Oryzias latipes: one gene and its partner. The protein of the gene in region 1 interacts with the protein of each later gene in a biochemical or structural test. Links are inferred from orthologs where the notes say so. Each region holds a gene or a part of one and is shown in the gene's direction. Other genes may lie near its edges. The genes, in order: bad and pak1.

Region 1 (9,532 bases):
CGCCCTGGATAAACTATGTCCAAGAAAACGACAAAGTATTTTTTGTTTTGGGGTAAAAACAGCATCATCATAATGGGAAATAAAACACTGGAAACGCTTTTACAATAGATCAGAAGAAGACCGGAGTGGGACTTTAAGGTGCTTGGGCTGCAGTAACTTTTTTTAAACACGTCTGTTGTTGCATACGTCTCATTTCATTTTTGAGAAAAGAGTCCAGAGAAGTGTTTTCATTAAAATGTTTTACCATTCAGTCCTTGGGCAAGACCTTTCGCACTACTGTCTATGTAGCAACAAGGGGGCCCAAGTCTGGGTCTCCCTCTGCCGGTCCCCAGCCCGATGAAAATGTAGGGTTGTGTCAGAAAGGTCATCTAGCGAAAAAATCTCTGCCAATGCGAATCATGGAAAGCTGATTCGCTGTGGAAGCCCTGATGGGATATGCCGAAAGGTGGACAACAAGTTTTACTCCCCTTGTTCTGCATGGTCACATGGTCTCATTCAGGTGGTTGGTATCTTGGACTGCACAATACCAGTTTTCATCAAACAATCTTATCGCTGGGAGAAGAAACAGGTCTTACAGGTTTACAAACATCTCAAGAATTTGATAATGGAAAAAACTCTGGTTCATTTGTCTTCAGAGATCTTCTTAAGTTTGTGTGCCGCACAAGTCTTAGTACTAAGAACTTTGTTTGTTTATTGACCTCTAGTTTCAAATTGTTCTAACTTTTGTCCAACCCGTACAAGGGTAATATCCTCTGTAAGAGATTGTTTGTTTCATTGTGTTATAATGTCAATAGAAAAAAATATATTAAATTAAAAAAAACAGTTTACTTGTTTCTGCTAATGTGTCTAAACCAGGCATGTCCAAAGTCTGGCCCATAGGCCAAATGTGGCCTCTGTTAAAATTTCCGCCGCCCACAGGCTCTTGTCAATTATTTGCGTCTTGCAACACTTTCTAAAAACGGTGAGTACGATTTTCTAAATTTTATGGGCTAAATTATGTCAAAAGCAATTAAAAATCTGTGGGACCCTTTTGTGACACTTTCTAGCTCATTTCTAAAATGTCAACTGTAAATTAAATATGTATATTTAATATATATAAATATCCGTGTCTACCTTATATGCCCAGAACTGGTTGTTTTCAAGGAGTTCAATATCTAGATGCACTACAAGATTCATGAGTCATGCTAACTATGTCAAGCTAGCTGGTACAGAATGTTTCATAGTCTTTTAATATGAAATTCGCAGAAAGTTGGGTAAAAATGTATTTAGCTTATTTTCTGTTCTACATGAAGAAATGAAAAGTATGTCGTTGTAATTACGTTTTTATTACATACCGGTAGTTAATTTTAAGTTAATGGTTTTATGAGGGTTCAGTGCTAGCCAAAGTGACGTGAGTTTTAAAAAAAAAAAAAAATTATTAACAAATATTGCACATACAATATACCAAATACAAAACTCCACACTGTGTTCAAAAAACAATTTTCACGTTTGCCAGGAAAATGAACAAAAATTCAAAAAACCATAATAATAACAATGTGAAACAGGTTAAGTAAAAATAAAAAAAAATAATAAAGGCAAAGGAATCTGTTAAAGTTTCAAAGGCACTATGTTTCAACTGTTCTAACAGCTTTTTTGTTAGTGGAGGATTTGATTCTGTTTACATACAGTACCATTTCTTTCTGGAAAACATAAAATACTGGGTTTTGTTAGCATATTTACACATGTGTATAAAATATTTAGTATAAGTAAATTGACTACATATATTTTCTCTGCATTTAATCCCCCTTGTGTAAAATATCCAAAAATAATATGCTCATAGAATAATCTATAATCTTCACATAGATGAGTTCTTATAAAATGTATCAAATCTTTCCAAAATACTTGAGTGAAGGAGCAATACCAAAAAAGATGAGGCACAGTTTCTGGTGAGAAATGACAAAATGAACAGTTTATGTCCCGATCTTTTCTAAATTTAGTAAAGAAATGTTTCACTGGATAAAATTTATGAAGAATTTTAAAAGAAATTTCTTTAATTTCATTGGTGATAACATTTTGGGGCATGGAAAACTTTTCCCACTGCATTCTACAGCCAAACCTATTCCAGTATGAGATAACATGCGGTTTTGTCGCAATCTCATTTTAAAACAGAGAACGGATACTTTGATTATTCCTGCCAGCTGAAAAACACCACAATTCTGTTAATTTGGGAGGAGAAAATGGAGTATTTGAAGGAGAACTGCTACACAGAAGTCTAACACCCCCTGGAATGGCTCCAGTAACCAATGCAAACTCTGCAGGTGAAACATGCAGACTATTGGTGGACAGAAACTCAATGTATGACATCAGGTTACCTTGTGGATTAATCAGCTGTGTCACAAGAGAAATGTTCTTTTCAAACTAATTTTCAAGACAAATACTCTTGTTTTTGTATAGAATATCTGCATTGTTCCAAATATAGTAGCGCTGAGTAGAAAAATTATGTTTGTAGATCAAAGTCTATGCCAATAAAACCTGCTTATGAAAATTAGACAGTTTTAAAGGATTTTTTTCCATTATTAAATTACATAATAAAATAAATGGCAGACCTCCAAGCTTATCAAATATGTATTTTTATATGAAATTCTAAAATGAGGTTTCACTTTTTAAGAAGTTTTTTTAACCATTTCATTTTGATGACATTACTTAGAATGGAAAAGTTAAGAAAGTCAAGTCCTCCGTCTTTTGATGAATTAATTACTACTGATTATCGTACATAGTGGATTCTATTTCTCCAAAGGAAGTTAAAAAGTATCTGATCAATCCTTTTTGCATTTTTACCCTCTTCCCTTCTCTACTTCTGTACCTGTCCCAAGCCCGGTTGCTTTGAGAGGGTTGCGTCAGGAAGGGCATCCGGCGTAAAACATTGCCAAGACTACCATGCGAATCTTCCACTGTGAAGTGGCTGATTCGCTGTGGCGACCCCTGATGGGACAAGCCGAAAGTGAAACAACTGTCCAGAGATAGTGAGGAAACAATGTAGACTAGTCTGGAAATTCCTTCTGCTTTTGCTAAGAGGACGTGACCTTTTTGTAGCCAGCGATTAAACTTATTTTGTGCTTTTGCAATCATAGGATTATAGTTATTCAGTTCTCTTTGTTTTTGTTCTTTAGTTATCTGCAATCCCAAATATGTGACTTTTTCTTTGACTACTATACTATTTATGGATGTTAGAGCACATTGTTTAAGAGGAAATAACTCACATTTCTTTAGGTTTAGATAGGTCCTGATGCTTTTGAAAATGTTTCTATAACTTGAAGAAACCTGTGAGGAGTTTAAGAATAATGATTCATCTGCCAGTTGACTTACAAGAATGTTTTTACCAGCAATAGAAATCCCATCAATATTCTCAATTTTATTTATCTGCAGAAAACGTGTGCAACCAGAAGAAACAGGTATACAGAGACAGTACACCCCTGTTTTATTCCTCTCCGAAGACAGAATCTGCGACTCGAGTAGTGCCAGCACTCAACTTGTGACGTCGTGAGTTTTGGCAGAAAAAAAGGGGGAGGGGTGAAAATGAGGAGCTTTTTGGTTCTGCGCTTCTTCTCTGGTCATTACGGTAACCAGACCAGACAAACAAGTCCTAGCTCGCAACAGTGACGTCAGCGCGCTGCGAAAGTGCAGGGGCGCGCGGCGATTGGGCGAAAGCGGAGCAGGGGTGTAATGTGCCGCGGGCAGAGAACACCAAAACATTAACAACAAGCAGTTTCTGCCGCTCGAAGCTAACTTCGGAGACTCTTTCCCACCTCCGGAGCGGACGCCGCAGAGATTTCGGGTGAGAAAAACTACTTCCAGGAGGTTCTCTTTAGCTGCGCGGAAGGTGGAGGGGACCGCTTCCGCCCTGTATGAAGTTTCTTTTGTCCTCTTGCTCTTCGGTCAACAACAACACAAAACAAACGAGGCAGTGTGTCGACGAAGAGCACAGCTCGCGAGCGCGTTGAACTACGAAAAACAAAGTACGTTATAACATCTTAACGAAGCGCGTGCTGTCAAAGTTGTGTCCTTATCTCGTGGAGTTGTTATTTTTTTAATACCTTTGGACTCAACCACTGATAGGCAGCTGGGTGTGTTACAGGTAGACACATAATTCATTTAGCTAATAGACATTTTATGACTCTAGGAGTGGAAAGTTGGGCCTAGCTCAATTTCTATTTCATTTCGGCTTCAAATGTGAAAGAAAAATAGTATTTGATTTGTGATGGTCTTCGTTTAAAATGATCATCAAGCTTCTCTGGTAGTGAATTATTGGAACAACGTGTCCTCAAAACACCTTTTTTTCTGCAGATGTTACGATGGCAGCAAAGTTCACCATCTCAGACGATTCGGAGTCATCCGAGGAGGTAGAGGGAGGAAAACTTGACCTGGGAGCGGCAGCAGGAGGAGAAGGGGAGCACCTTCATGATCGACATTCCCTCACCCTGCCAGAGCTTCGACTCACAAGTAAGCAGACCAAAAGCATTATGGGAAATGAGAAGCACTTTTAAGAGTTGTTTGAGAAAATTCCAGTCTTAAGGCAGCAGGATTCGGATTTTTTGGGATCCTGAGGTGGAGCGGTTAGCTGTTTTATAGGGTCACTGTATGCAAGAACTGGACTGAGCGACCCCTCCCACCTCACGTTCCAAACAGGAAATCCCTGCTGGCTCCAAGAAGACAAAGTCTTATAGACTTCTATTGCGAAATAATCAACTATTGCTGACTCTATATGATCCTTTTTTTTAATAATTATATTTTTTTCTATAGTGCAAATTATTTCAGTTATAATCTGAGCCTTCAGATGCCTCAATAAAAGCATGTGGTTTCATGTCAAACATTTCACTGACTGATTCTCCCAAATGATAGGGCTGTAGACCTTTAACAAGCTCTCTCCTGATTGGTGAGTGGTTTCCATAGAAACTTTGACTCAGACCAATCAGAGTTTACTAACATTGTCCCACGCATTGCCAACATTTTGGCGACGACATTGACTTTGTTTCATTGGAGCTGGATGGACGGTATTTCCTCACTATACAGTGAATGGCTTGTACTTCAGTTTTTGTTAGGACCCCATATAGAAAAAGCTGTCATTGATAGGGGATGGATAATTTTCTCAAGGATAAACATTGTCTTTAATAAAGCGTTGTTGTTGTTTTTTTTATATTTATGAAATATAAATATGCAGTTTAAATTGTAGTGCCATTTAGATGACACAAAAAGAAATAGACGCTGAAGGAGAAACTAATACCTGCTGGAAGAACAAAAAGGGAACAAAACTTTTCCTAGTGGTAAGGTAATCACTGTCTCACCTAAATGTGAACACAATCAGAGATTGTGTGCAGTCAGTACAGTGTTTTCTTGTTTATCATGGAGTTACATTCTAAATATCGATAAAGTTTGATTCTTTTCATATCCAGACTTTTCTCTCTTTTTTTTAACTCTCAAATCTCAAGCCTTCGTAGAAAATAAGTCCAATATTATAGAATGAAAACAAAGATGTAACTGTGGCACAAATGAGATCCACAAGGTCTACAGCCAATCAGAACGCAGTGTGCTGTATAAAACAATACACATACTGAATTGCACTACAAAGATCCACGAAACAGTGAGACAGCGATAGATGAGCCGCGTAACAGAGTGGGATCACGACCCCAAAAACGTTAAATCTCAAGTTGAGTAGAAAGAGTTTGACTTGTTTTGTTTTGGAAGCTGCTGCTGCATGGAAACTGTCGACAGTGAGACTCTCTGGACTGTCCACACGATTCAGCTCAAACTGCGGATTCTGACGCAGAAAAAGGCAGCTTTGCACCGATCAGCAGCTCACTACTGTAAAGTTTCGCACGGCTGCTTTTCTATGCATCGGAAACAGCTGAAGTGACGTCAATTGTGCGACTGCTTAATGAATTACGGTCGTCGAAAGAGCTAAAGCAGCGGCGTTAAAGGGTTCAACGGCCTCTGGTTGGAGTCTTCTGAGGATGGAGCCGTCAGCATCTGCAGCTGTAGCCTACAATCAACAAAGTGACTAGTAACTGCAGAAAAAGTCACTATTTAACAGTTTTTGAAATGATTTAAAATGGAACAGAACCGGGTTGTCTGTGTTTGCGCACGAATCAGTGGAGCCTCACGGGACGTGGCAAACGTGGCATCAGATACTATTTGTCTGATTGTTATTTTCCTTATGTTTTTAGCTCGTACGTTTCATGGCGCAGCATCATTATATTTGACCAAAACTTTATTTTTTACATTTTTTATAAACTAACAGGCAACATAAAAAGGGGAAAATGAGGCCGAATTCCCTCACTGCTGCCTAACTCCCAATGCATTTTGGGATTGTAGATTCCCCTCATAAGTGGCAATTCAGACACAGCAGAACCCTTGAAGGGGTGTTTCCTCTGTCTTCAGGTCTCCCAGGTTACCCGTACTTTTTCAACGTTCGTTAACATTTTGTCCTTACCTGTCATAAAGGTAACGGGCGTACCAGGCTGAATTCAGAGTCCACCGCTTCCACGTACTCCAGAGATGAGGACCTCGCGCGGGAAGACGAGGCCGGAACCCCCACTGATGGGTTGGCCTTCAGGGGCAGATCCAAGTCGGCCCCTCCGGCTCTGTGGGCCGCCAAAAAGTACGGTCAGCAGCTCCGACGGATGAGCGACGAGTTTGACAGCCTGCTGGATAAAGGGGTAAGAGCGGGTGGCGAGGGGGCGGGGCGGCAGACGAGAGTCGCTTCCCGGATTTGAACGTGACATCTGCCTTGTGCAGGAGATGAGGAAGGTGAGGAGCACTGGGGCGGCCAAACAGATGCTCCACTCCACGAGCTGGTGGAACTACCTCTTCAGCCACCCGGAGGCGGAAGGAGAGTACAGCCACCACGAGAGCCACCGCACTGAGTAAGGATGGAGAGGAAGACTGTTGTGATGAAGGACTCGGAGGAGGACAGAAACCACGGGGGCATCTACACAAGAGGAGGGGTCGACCCACTCAAATACGAGAGGAATGGGAACACTAAGACCGGGCTGAACGGGTCTCCATCTTTGAACTCGCTCATTTCTTTTAAAACATTTTTGTCTTTCTTTGTATTTGACTGTGATGTTTTTTAAAAAAAAAAAAAGCCCACTTGACTGAGAATTTAGACATTTGACACATCAGCGTATACAATGAAATTATCATCAAATATAAGCAATCTACTGCAGGCGGAGAAAAAAAAGGCGCCGACATCCGGCCGTCAGAGGAGATAGAAGTGAAAACTCCTCCTCCTGCGGATGAACGGGGGCGTCTTTTATCTCCGTATGGCGAAGACGGAAAGGGTCAAAGTGCTCGATTTGGGCTCGTCCGAACAATCTCGCAGTGGGACAATCTTCAGCGATGCACAAGTGCTTTCTGGGTAAATCTTCAGGGTTACATCGACGCATCAAACCTGCGATCAAAGGCACAAATCCGAGAACATCGAGTGTAAATACTTTGTGAATATTTTTATGAAAGGACAGGAAGGGCCTGGAGGGGCTTTAAATAGATTATCAGAGGTTCGGTGGGCGTGGCTAACCCTGCAATAGGCTGTGTACAATCCACGGCTGTTGTGATGAGTGAGGAAGGACGACTATACTGCTGTTAACTCTCCGGTCCAGAGGAAGGGCTTATTTAAGAGGAGCAAACTACTTTTGGTCCATAAAGGACAGGGTTTCAATGCCCAGATCTCTGCTTTAGGATGTGAAGGTTATCTTTTAGTCCGTAAACAAACAAAAAGGCTAGTTTTTATCCAATCGCTGCAGCTGGATTTGACGTTTGTGTGTTTTTCTGAGGAAACCGAGATCTTTAAACCTTTTAAAAACGGTTTCTCGTTTATTCTGCTCGCCGTCTTCCTCAAAGTCGGGAAGGTCGCAGACATCTTTGCCAACGTTCCATCACTCGGGTTAGCTCTTTGTAGAGCTTTTTTCTTTTTTCCCCTAAATAAACTCCAGACAATCTAAAACGGTGCTGCATTTTTCTAAAAATGTTCCCAGCTGTTGTGATGTGTTCAATGCCACTACGTTTTTTCTACGTTTATTCTCTGTTTTACGAATATTTCCTAATCACCTCCTTAAAAGGAAAATATTTGTACACATGAGCTGGTAGAGATTATTCGTGGCTCTCGGGTGAAGCGTTTATTCTCGGGAGGTGAAATGTCGCGTCAGATGAAGCGCCTTTTTGAACTTCACAGCCTTAAATCTTTATAGGGACACTGAAGCGGGAAAGCACAAACTCTCAGAGGTGCGTTCACTGCCACAACGGCGAGGGAAACACTTTTGATCGGCTCTCTAGCGGGCGGCGAAGCCCGAACCTGCGCTGGCGGGCGCCTGGAGTTTCCGAAACCATCCTTAGTATTACTTGAATTTTTGAGTGTGTCTAAGAAGGGAAGAAATGCAATTTTAATACATTAAGTGGTTTGTTTTTTGGAATAATTTTTGTTTTTTTTTTATGTATTTTCTCTACAGCTGTCCAGCCTCTGCTGTCTTTAATAAATGATTTTAACAGTGGTTCTTATGAGTTTTTTTTTTTACATTTATTAAAAAATGTTGATGAAAAACAACTTTCCCTTTAAAAGTTTACGGTAACAAAGTCCACAAATAAACGTGTCAGGCCACTTCTGAGGGATCCCAGCAGTACTTGTGTCCACAGTCCAAAGACGACAGCCTCTCCATGTCCGCTTTACTCAACTCAAAGTCAAAAATCCTGCAATTCTCCTCGATTCGTTCAGGATTGGAGGATTTTGGGAGCACCGGGACTCCCTGCTGAACAGCCCAGCGTAGGAGAACCTGCAGGAGAGGCGTACAAACGTTACCGTGCCTGAATAAATGTGCGGTGAATGGGTAGAGACGGGCCATACCTGTGCAGGCGTACGCTTGCAGCTCTCCGCCACTTCGATGACCAGCGGGTCGGCCAGCAGCTCTCCTTTCCCCAGCGAGGAGTACGACTGGAAACACACTCGGGACTCCTCACACACACTCCTCAGCCCGGCCTGGCACAGCCGTGGATGAAACTCCACCTGGAAGGGACAAACAGACGCTTCTCACATCACATGGTCTCCTGTGACTACAGCACCGTTTAGAGTGACTGCAGCATTAGTTACAAACCATGAGAGAATTTTAAATCCATGTGCGTTTTTTTTTGCATCCCAGCTTCTTTATTTGTTCGCACTTTTTTTTTTTTGGGATGGTCAGCACAATGATGTCCTAAAGACTCACTCTGATCATCTTTTGATCTATTCTAAAAGCGTTCCCAGTGGTCTTTCAATTACGATGACAGTTTTTAGTCAAAAACCTGTCGTTTTCTGGGACCTAGTTTCTGCAAAGCAGCAGTCGTTTTTTCAGAAATTCACCTCCACGTTGTGGGCGGGACCGTTGGGGTGGAGCAACCCCACCCCCCATTCCCCTTACCCATCGCTCTGGCCCACTCATCGTATTTTCGATGTGACAAATAGGATCTTTTTCAAACTGGATTTTTTTTTTGAATAAATAAAATGCTCAAAAATGCTAATTTAATCGTA
Region 2 (7,954 bases), on another chromosome or scaffold:
CCACGTTGTTTGTTTCTGAAGTTTGCAAACATTTACAGCGTAGAACTGACAGCATCGCCTCAACCCCTTCTGTTTTACCATCATTGATGTTCACGCATTTTAAAGAAAGTTTGTTTTTGTTTTTTACTCTTGTGCCAACTTCCAAGTTTATTCCTTCGGAGGTCTAATCAAAAATGAGGATGAAAATCCTGATAAAAATGTTCCTGTTGTTGGTTCTAGTTACCTGGTGGGTGATGAGCTCTGGGTTGTCATGGAGTATCTGGCAGGAGGATCTCTGACGGATGTCGTCACAGAAACCTGCATGGATGAAGCCCAGATAGCCGCTGTGTGCAGAGAGGTAGGACAAGTGGAGCTCATCTTTATTTTGATGGACCTCCTTAAGGCTTAAGCTACAGTCACATGCCTTCAGGAACTCACATTTAGCCCACAGTGTTCACACTGGACAAGCTGGGAGGGGCTTCTGCTGTGCAAACCTGGTGAATTTTGCTCCAGGCTTTTTCTTTAACCGCTCTATTCCATTTTATAAAAGACTTGGTGTTGTATAATTCTGGCCGGACACAAACCGCGATTATTAATTTCTCCTCCGTGATCAACTTTCCAATGATTGGTACTTCAGGAATTAAAAGGGGGCGTCGTGCCACAAACCACTACCAAATCCAAGTCCCTGATTGGTCAAAGGTCGTCTTTGTTTAGATGAACATGACTATTGAGCGCATTTTAAGCACTTTTCCTTTAAAGTGGCCGCTTGAAAGCACGTTGCTGAGGGCAACAGGGACATAGCTTCAGTCACAACTGCCCTTGGGGGTGAATACCGGCTGTCGTAGAGCACTCAGTGAACCTGTAGGGCCAAAATGACATGCTGTTCATGTTATGGACACGCTGTGGGCAGCAGGTTAGAATGAACACTTAGACAACTCGTAAGGATGAAGTAGGTGAGACGCAGGCTTGCCGCATGGATTTTTACATTTTTTTCAACCCCCTCCCCCAAATCCTGCATACTGAGCAGGAAGCCCGTTGGTGCTGTTCACGTGGTTGGGCATGCGCTCCTTGTGATGCAGTTTGACAGTTACGATTTAGTAATTACAGCGAAGTTTTTGTAGGCGTTCCACGAGGGTCCTACAGCCACTTGCATATCACGTGCACACCCGCTCGTGCAGTATTTCCGCGCTGTTAATTAGGAGTGCACTTTTCTAACAACAAGAGTGTGGCGTAAGGGCGCTGTACGACAGCATCATAAGTGCATGTCGCTTACATTATCCTTGAAAATAATTTGCGATAAATTTACCACACGTACGACAATGGAACGTTCCATTTTCACGACATCTCTCGAGGTGCAGCCACTCCTGTCTATGACCCTCCACGGCCCCGAAAAACCCCCAAAACGCACAACATCCGCGAAGCTACGGTCTCACCACCCTCAGCAACGTGCGTTCAAGCGCCCACTTCTATTAAAGAGTCTATGTAAACGGGCGTCTATGCGCATTTCGGGCTTCTGCGTTTGAAACTTTCCCATTCATGTTTCTATGACTGTTTTTCGGCCTCTACATACAAAACACACAATCTTAGTACAGTTGAACCAAGTCGAACTTTGACCAATCAGGAACTCGGATTTGGTAGTGACGCATGGAGGACATCCTCTTGAATTCCTAAAAATGTCAACCTGGAGGAGAAATCAATAATTGTGGTTTGTGTCTGGTTGAAATTCTATCACACATAGTGTTTCATATATATCGGAATGGAGCTGTGAAATAAAAGGCCTCGAGCAAAATTCACCAGATTTGCAGCTTTTCCACATTTGGACATGCACTGGTAAGCATTAGGAAAAGAAGAAGCCCCCCCCTGCTCGTCCAGTGTGAACACCAGATGCTAAACACGTGTTCAAGAACGCGAATCACATGCCCGGTGTGAACATAGCTTAAGGGTCAACGACCCTGTTTGGGTGCATGTGTCTAAGGCTTTACTATCAAAAGTGTTTGTTGTTTTGGTGCCTCATGGGTAGGAGGGTTACTCTACTTCCTGTTCAGTGTCTTCAGGCCCTGGAGTTCCTTCACTCCAACCAGGTCATCCATCGGGACATCAAGAGCGACAACATCCTGCTGGGCATGGACGGCTCTGTCAAACTCAGTCAGTGGCCTTTTGGTTTCTAGATCTGTTCCAGAATAAACAGCAGATTTGTTCTCCAAAAGGTGAACTCACTAATTCTTCTCCTTTCGCCTCTTCCAGCTGACTTTGGCTTCTGCGCTCAGATCACGCCGGAGCAGAGCAAGCGCAGCACCATGGTGGGGACTCCATACTGGATGGCTCCGGAGGTCGTGACTCGCAAAGCGTACTGCCCCAAAGTGGACATTTGGTCTTTGGGCATCATGGCCATCGAGATGGTTGAAGGAGAGCCACCATACTTAAATGAGAATCCTCTTAGAGTGAGTTTGATTGATTTTTTTTTTTAAACAAAAAGGTTTTCGTCTTCAACCTAAAAAGCTAAATCCTGATGGATTCTTTTTAAATCTTTCTTTCTGCTATGGATCCATCCTGGATGAAGGAGAGTCTTCAAACGTTTTCTTTTTTCACTTTTAGGATTTTTATTTATGTTAACCAGAAAGATTTTTAATCTTCTGTAAGTCCATTTGAGGTTAGTCAACACTTTCTTCTGGTTTTGGTTTAGGAGTTTGTAAATCAGCATCGTTGTGAGGTTTTGTTTAACTCGCTTTTAGCTGCACTGAGGGCTTTATGTCTGGATCTGACTGTTTTATTCTTACATATTTTGATTGAAAATTGTTACTTGTTATCTGGTTTATTTTATTTTTAAGCATTTAATAACTTTTGTCCTAAAAAAATGATTCTAAATCCTATTTTTATGCCTATCAGCGCTTCCTTTAGGGGGTTGGTACAGACCAGAATCCTCAAAACAAAAACGTCTAAACAGCTAATAAGTGATTCATTAGCCAAAATTAGAAGTATACATAATATATGCATATATAACAATATGCATATGCCATTTTTGCAGTTTGAAATTCAAAATAAAAACGCTTTATTCGTTACGATGGACATGCTGAAGAACACTGTGACCTTAAGGGTAGTTTTTGTGGGATTTCTGCCTCTTAAACTGCCACTAGATGGCACCAAAGCACCTCTCTGGATCTCTTTTTCACTGTCCAGCTCTCTAAGGGAGGAAAATATCCTTTTTTCTGTTTTGCAGGCGCTTTATCTTATTGCAACCAACGGGACCCCAGAGCTGCAGAATCCAGAGAAGCTGTCAACGATATTCAGAGACTTCTTAAACCGATGTCTGGAGATGGACGTGGAGAAGAGAGGCTCTGCTAAAGAGCTCCTGCAGGTAAACCCGCGCTAAGAAAATCCTTTTTCACAGTACAGAAACAAACAGAAATGTTATGAAACGGACCAAAGTTTAGTCAAATACGCTCCACTGTCACCATTTTAAGGCCTTAAGAAAAACATATCGGTCATTTTACACTTTTAATAAATGAAAATGTTTAAAAAAAGACTTGAAGTAAAATAAAAGAAAGCAGAACATTAAGATTGTTATAGAGGATTCCAGCACACTTACACAAGAGATCAATGTTGATCATGAAACTATTTTGACAAATAATTTCTGTTTAAAAATTTTAATGAGCTAATTTATTTACCTGAAATTCAGCACATATACTTATTATAATAAATTAAATTACAATTTTCCTATTGTAGTATTTGACCATTTATATATTTTAATATTTCTTTAGCTTCATATCTCACAGACCCTTGATCAACCTGCTGTTTTATCTCTTCTCTTTCTCCCCCCCTTCCTGCATCCTTTCATCCTTTGCGCCCCGACTCCTTTCACCACCTTTGCCCTCCCTGGGTTCCCGGTGTTCTTCTCACAGCATCAGTTTCTGAAGATGGCGAAGCCTCTTTCCAGCCTCACCCCCCTGATTCTCGCAGCCAAGGAGGCAGCCAAGAACAACCGCTAGCTAGCTAGCTAGCTTTGTTTTTCTCCCCCACCTCCTCCTGGCGTCCGGCGTCGTTCACAGGAAGGTGGCGTTGTATGTGCTTCTGGCTGGATTATGACGTTCTTCAAACGCCTTCCGTCTTTGTTTTTTGTAAAGTTGCTTCGACTGTTATTTTCCTCCACTCTTACCTTTGACCCCTGAGTCTTGACCCCCCCCCCTCCTGCACATCTCCTGGGGAGAACGAAGGATGAACTTCAGATCGCTGTGGAACAGAACATCTCAACGGAGCCCAAAGAAGTGAAACGGCGTCCCGGTCCAGCACAGCCAGCCTTTACGTGTGCGTGTGCGAGAGCTTTTAGTCGGTGAAGCTGTAGGTACTTTTATCTGTTGTCACGGTAACGCACGTGTTGGTCCCTTGCTGCCCGCAGCATCACCTCCTGTAGGTTTAGGTGTATATCCGGAGAGGTTTAGTTTTGTCTGAACGCGGCTGCGCCCAGAGCCACTGATGGATGGAGTTTGGACATAGAATCTCGGCGCTGCTCACAGAGGGGGCGGATGGGGTTTTTTTTGGGCAGATGGGGGTTTTTAGGGCAGTTTTGCTCAATTTTATAGGCTGAGGCCTTTATCCTCTTCAGAATCCTCTGGATCAGGAAAAATGCTGGCTTTTGGGAGGTCAGTGTGAAAAGCTGATTTAAAGTCATTTTTAAATGTTTTTAAGAGGATTTCTAGAAAAAAAAAGACAAATAAAATGATTCAAATGGATATCAGTAAGTTCAACCAAAAACAAAGCTTTTTGTGTAGTATTTTAGGTAATAAGATGATTCCTCCAGTGACACATTGACTTAAAAACACCTACGGCATTCAGCCAATACCTAAAAAATATGAAATAGTAATTGTGAATATCCTTGCAGAAACCTGAAACAGCATTGAATTGTAATGAGTTCCGATCATCTAAGGTTACTTTTGCTCATTGGGGTCAATATGTTAGGTTCTGCATTTGTTTTTGCTTTTTTTTAGTGATCCATTAAAATAGCCTTTTTAGTATTTCGCGATAAATGTACTTTTTGTTTTTATTTGTAGTTTTGTGTTATGACTTTTGATAGAAACAGATACTAATAACATCATCAAATTAAAAAGTTGAACAGCTTTGTTCTCTGTGCGTTTTGGTTAAAGAAAAGTAAAAAAAAAAATCAACTTTTGGTCATTTTTTATGTAGTTTGTCTTTAATTCCATATCTTTGTTTGTGGCGTGGTAAAAAGGCGGTAGGCAGAGGATATTTCCCCCTTTTCTTTTATGTTAGAGTCCTGCGCTGTGGATCTTTCTGTCCCTCAAAGGTTTTTCATTGTGAAGCTGCGTTTGCGTTTTTTTCCTGCGGCAGACACCTGATTGATCCGCGATAAACAGAACCAAACTGACAGGATCTGACAGACCAGGAGCAGTTTCCTTCGCTCCCCGAGAGATCACATCTCACTCTGATGATGACGTCCTGTCTGCCTGACATGTGAACACTGATAAACGCATTTATCCGGCTGCTCTGCGTCACATTTGTGCTGCTTTAAATAAAAGGCCGGCCTCGTTTTGGGCTTGTTTCAGCATTTAATGGCTCAGCTCAGTTTCCCACTTTTGCTTTAATGAGAAGCTTCATCTGTTTGAGGTAGATATGAATGATGTGAACTTTAATCTGGTTTCCCTTAATTATTCTGGAAAATGGAAACAAATTCCAAACATTTTCATAATGTAACTGTCAAGCGATTGAGCTCGACTTATCCTCCGGATGAAAAGTCGTGTTATTTAAAGCTCTGTGATGTGAAATGGGCTCGCCGAGGTGCAGGGCGCCCTGCCTGTCAGGCGCCGCATTAAAAAGGTTAATATCTGAATGAAGGAGGAAAATGAGGTTTAGGGGGGGGGTACTGTCAAGCTGGCTCCATCTGCGGCTCTGGGACGTCACAGTCTGTGGGCTCGTTGAGAAGCTGTGATGACGAGAATGTGCATGAAAACCTTTTTATACGGTATGCTTAAGAGGAAACGCAAAGTCAAGTATGAAAGCCCTACAATGGAAATGAAAGAGACTGGTGTACGATGGGGGAAAACACAACTTCATCCTATTTTCAGAAGAAACTTGAGAAAACGATGAAGGCACTGTGTTGTTGTTGTTGTTGGTTTTTTTGGCCTGGAGCCCCGTGAACACAATCTGTTTATTTTCTGTGCTAAAGAACAAAATAAATCCGTCTTTTCCCAGTTTTTCCTTAAGGACTGCGCTTCTGGTTGTCGTCAAAAAGCTTTTTTTTTTGTTCTTTTCTGGAAAACAAAGACTAAAACTGTCACTTTGATTTCTACTTTTAAAGGTTTGTTAAAGATTTTGTTGTTGTTTATTGTAGTGACTATGTGACTCTGGCCTTAAACTGTGTCAAAGGTGCAATACTGCTTTTGTAACAGTCTGATGGTTGTGATACACTGCAATATTTTATTTGATTTGATTTGATTTTAAAGTCCCACTCCGATCATCTTTGGATCTAATTTCAAAGTGTCCCCAGTGTCCTTTTGATTAGGATTATGCTGTTTTGAGCCTAAATTTTAAAAAACTGTGTCATTTTCTAGGACAAAGTTTCTGCAGAGCGGCTGGAGTTCATTAAAAAATTCCCCGATGGGTAGTTGCTGTGAAGCAACTCCGCCCCCACTTCCCATCACTGTTGCTGAGAGCTCAGAGCAGGCAGTTTGAGGCCCGCTCAGCTTATTTTCTGCAAACAATCTTTTTTCATCTTTTTTTGATTCACAACGATTTAAATAAAGAAATACTGTGAAGCAGAATTTCAAGCTTAATTTTCTGTGTAAGTGTCTCGAATCAAAAAAGATGCCATAAGAATGTGTTAAAAACACAACTTTCATAGTAGTGGGACTTTAAAGTCTTTTTTTTGGTTTTGTTTTTCCCATTACAGCCTTTGAAAATCAAAATGATTGGAAAATGCCCCAAAAGTAAAACACTGAGCTGGTTTGAAGAGGATTTTTCTCACTTCAGCGTTAAAGGAGAAGCACAGTCCAGTTCCTCGATTGGTTGAAACTGCAAACGCTGTCTGAGGAACTCTGAAGCTGTGAGCGTTAGCATCCTTCAATGAAACCTTTATGAACACACAAACCCCCCCGGCTCAGAGACAAACGACGCCCGGTTCCCACATTAGACTGACATCAGGTATAAATGTTAGGAAAAGCTGCCCTACATGAAAAGGTCAATGGAAAGCACAAGAATGGTACTTTTTAAACGCCTTAGGATGACTGTGATGCTTAAAAAAATCCTTAACGTTCACATTAGTCAAAAATCCTCTTTTTTTTTTTTCTGTCATGTTGGATTTCTTTCTGTAAAAACACTGATGTCTAACACACAGTGGACGATGTTTGCACTAAGTGTAATCAGAACATTTGAACCCGTTTGTGGAAAAGAAAGAAAGGCTCAAACCCCCCCCATCGTTTAGGTGTTTGATCTCTTTTGGAAAAAGACAAAACAAAAATGGCTGCCGGCTTTATAATGTTGCACAATCTTTGTCACGCCTCCGTTTCCTTACAGTGAAAAGCCCATAAAGCCTTTTCACGAGGAAACGCTTTTCCGAGCAGCTTAAGGCGGGATTCTCACTGGAAGTGTGCGGTTCAGTGACCTCTGTGTCCGGGCTGATCCCCTCTTCTCCATTTATTGTACCAGAGCCATAATGTCTGTTTGTATCATTTCCTTTAATGTATTTTTTTTTTTTTTTTTTTTTAGTTTTTGAAACAACTGAAACATAAAAAAATAAATTATACAAAAACTGAAAATCTGTTTTATTGGTTTTATGTCTGAAAGCTGCTTCCATAAACTCTGTTCTATTTACTTTTCATGAAAAGCCTAATTTACACATTAAAAAAGCAGCTTTCATGCCATAAAAGACGGTTATTAAACACCAAAAGAACTTTTAGACGATCCAGATGAACCGAGGCCAATTTGTCTCAAAGAAAACCGGATCGATAAGCATTTAACACCATAA

What was found.
Region 2: of the proteins of bad (region 1) and pak1, one has a biochemical effect on the other in vitro, tested with the Homo sapiens proteins (3 studies listed by BioGRID). The link is inferred for Oryzias latipes from reciprocal best matches to the Homo sapiens genes BAD and PAK1.

Annotation. Positions count from the first base shown.
Region 1 is NC_019876.2:12,864,053-12,873,584, forward strand, and holds bad (bcl2-associated agonist of cell death), read left to right. Parts: upstream 1-3,820; 5' UTR 3,821-3,995; intron 3,996-4,323; 5' UTR 4,324-4,331; coding exon 4,332-4,479; intron 4,480-6,477; coding exon 6,478-6,692; intron 6,693-6,771; coding exon 6,772-6,903; 3' UTR 6,904-8,522; downstream 8,523-9,532. Other genes in the region: uncharacterized protein LOC101172196, read right to left, coding at 8,622-8,801, 8,873-9,031. UniProt on the Homo sapiens protein: Promotes cell death. Successfully competes for the binding to Bcl-X(L), Bcl-2 and Bcl-W, thereby affecting the level of heterodimerization of these proteins with BAX. Can reverse the death repressor activity of Bcl-X(L), but not that of Bcl-2.
Region 2 is NC_019871.2:4,550,043-4,557,996, forward strand, and holds the end of pak1 (serine/threonine-protein kinase PAK 1), read left to right. Parts: intron 1-219; coding exon 220-337; intron 338-2,024; coding exon 2,025-2,124; intron 2,125-2,223; coding exon 2,224-2,420; intron 2,421-3,196; coding exon 3,197-3,334; intron 3,335-3,878; coding exon 3,879-3,965; 3' UTR 3,966-6,752; downstream 6,753-7,954. UniProt on the Homo sapiens protein: Protein kinase involved in intracellular signaling pathways downstream of integrins and receptor-type kinases that plays an important role in cytoskeleton dynamics, in cell adhesion, migration, proliferation, apoptosis, mitosis, and in vesicle-mediated transport processes.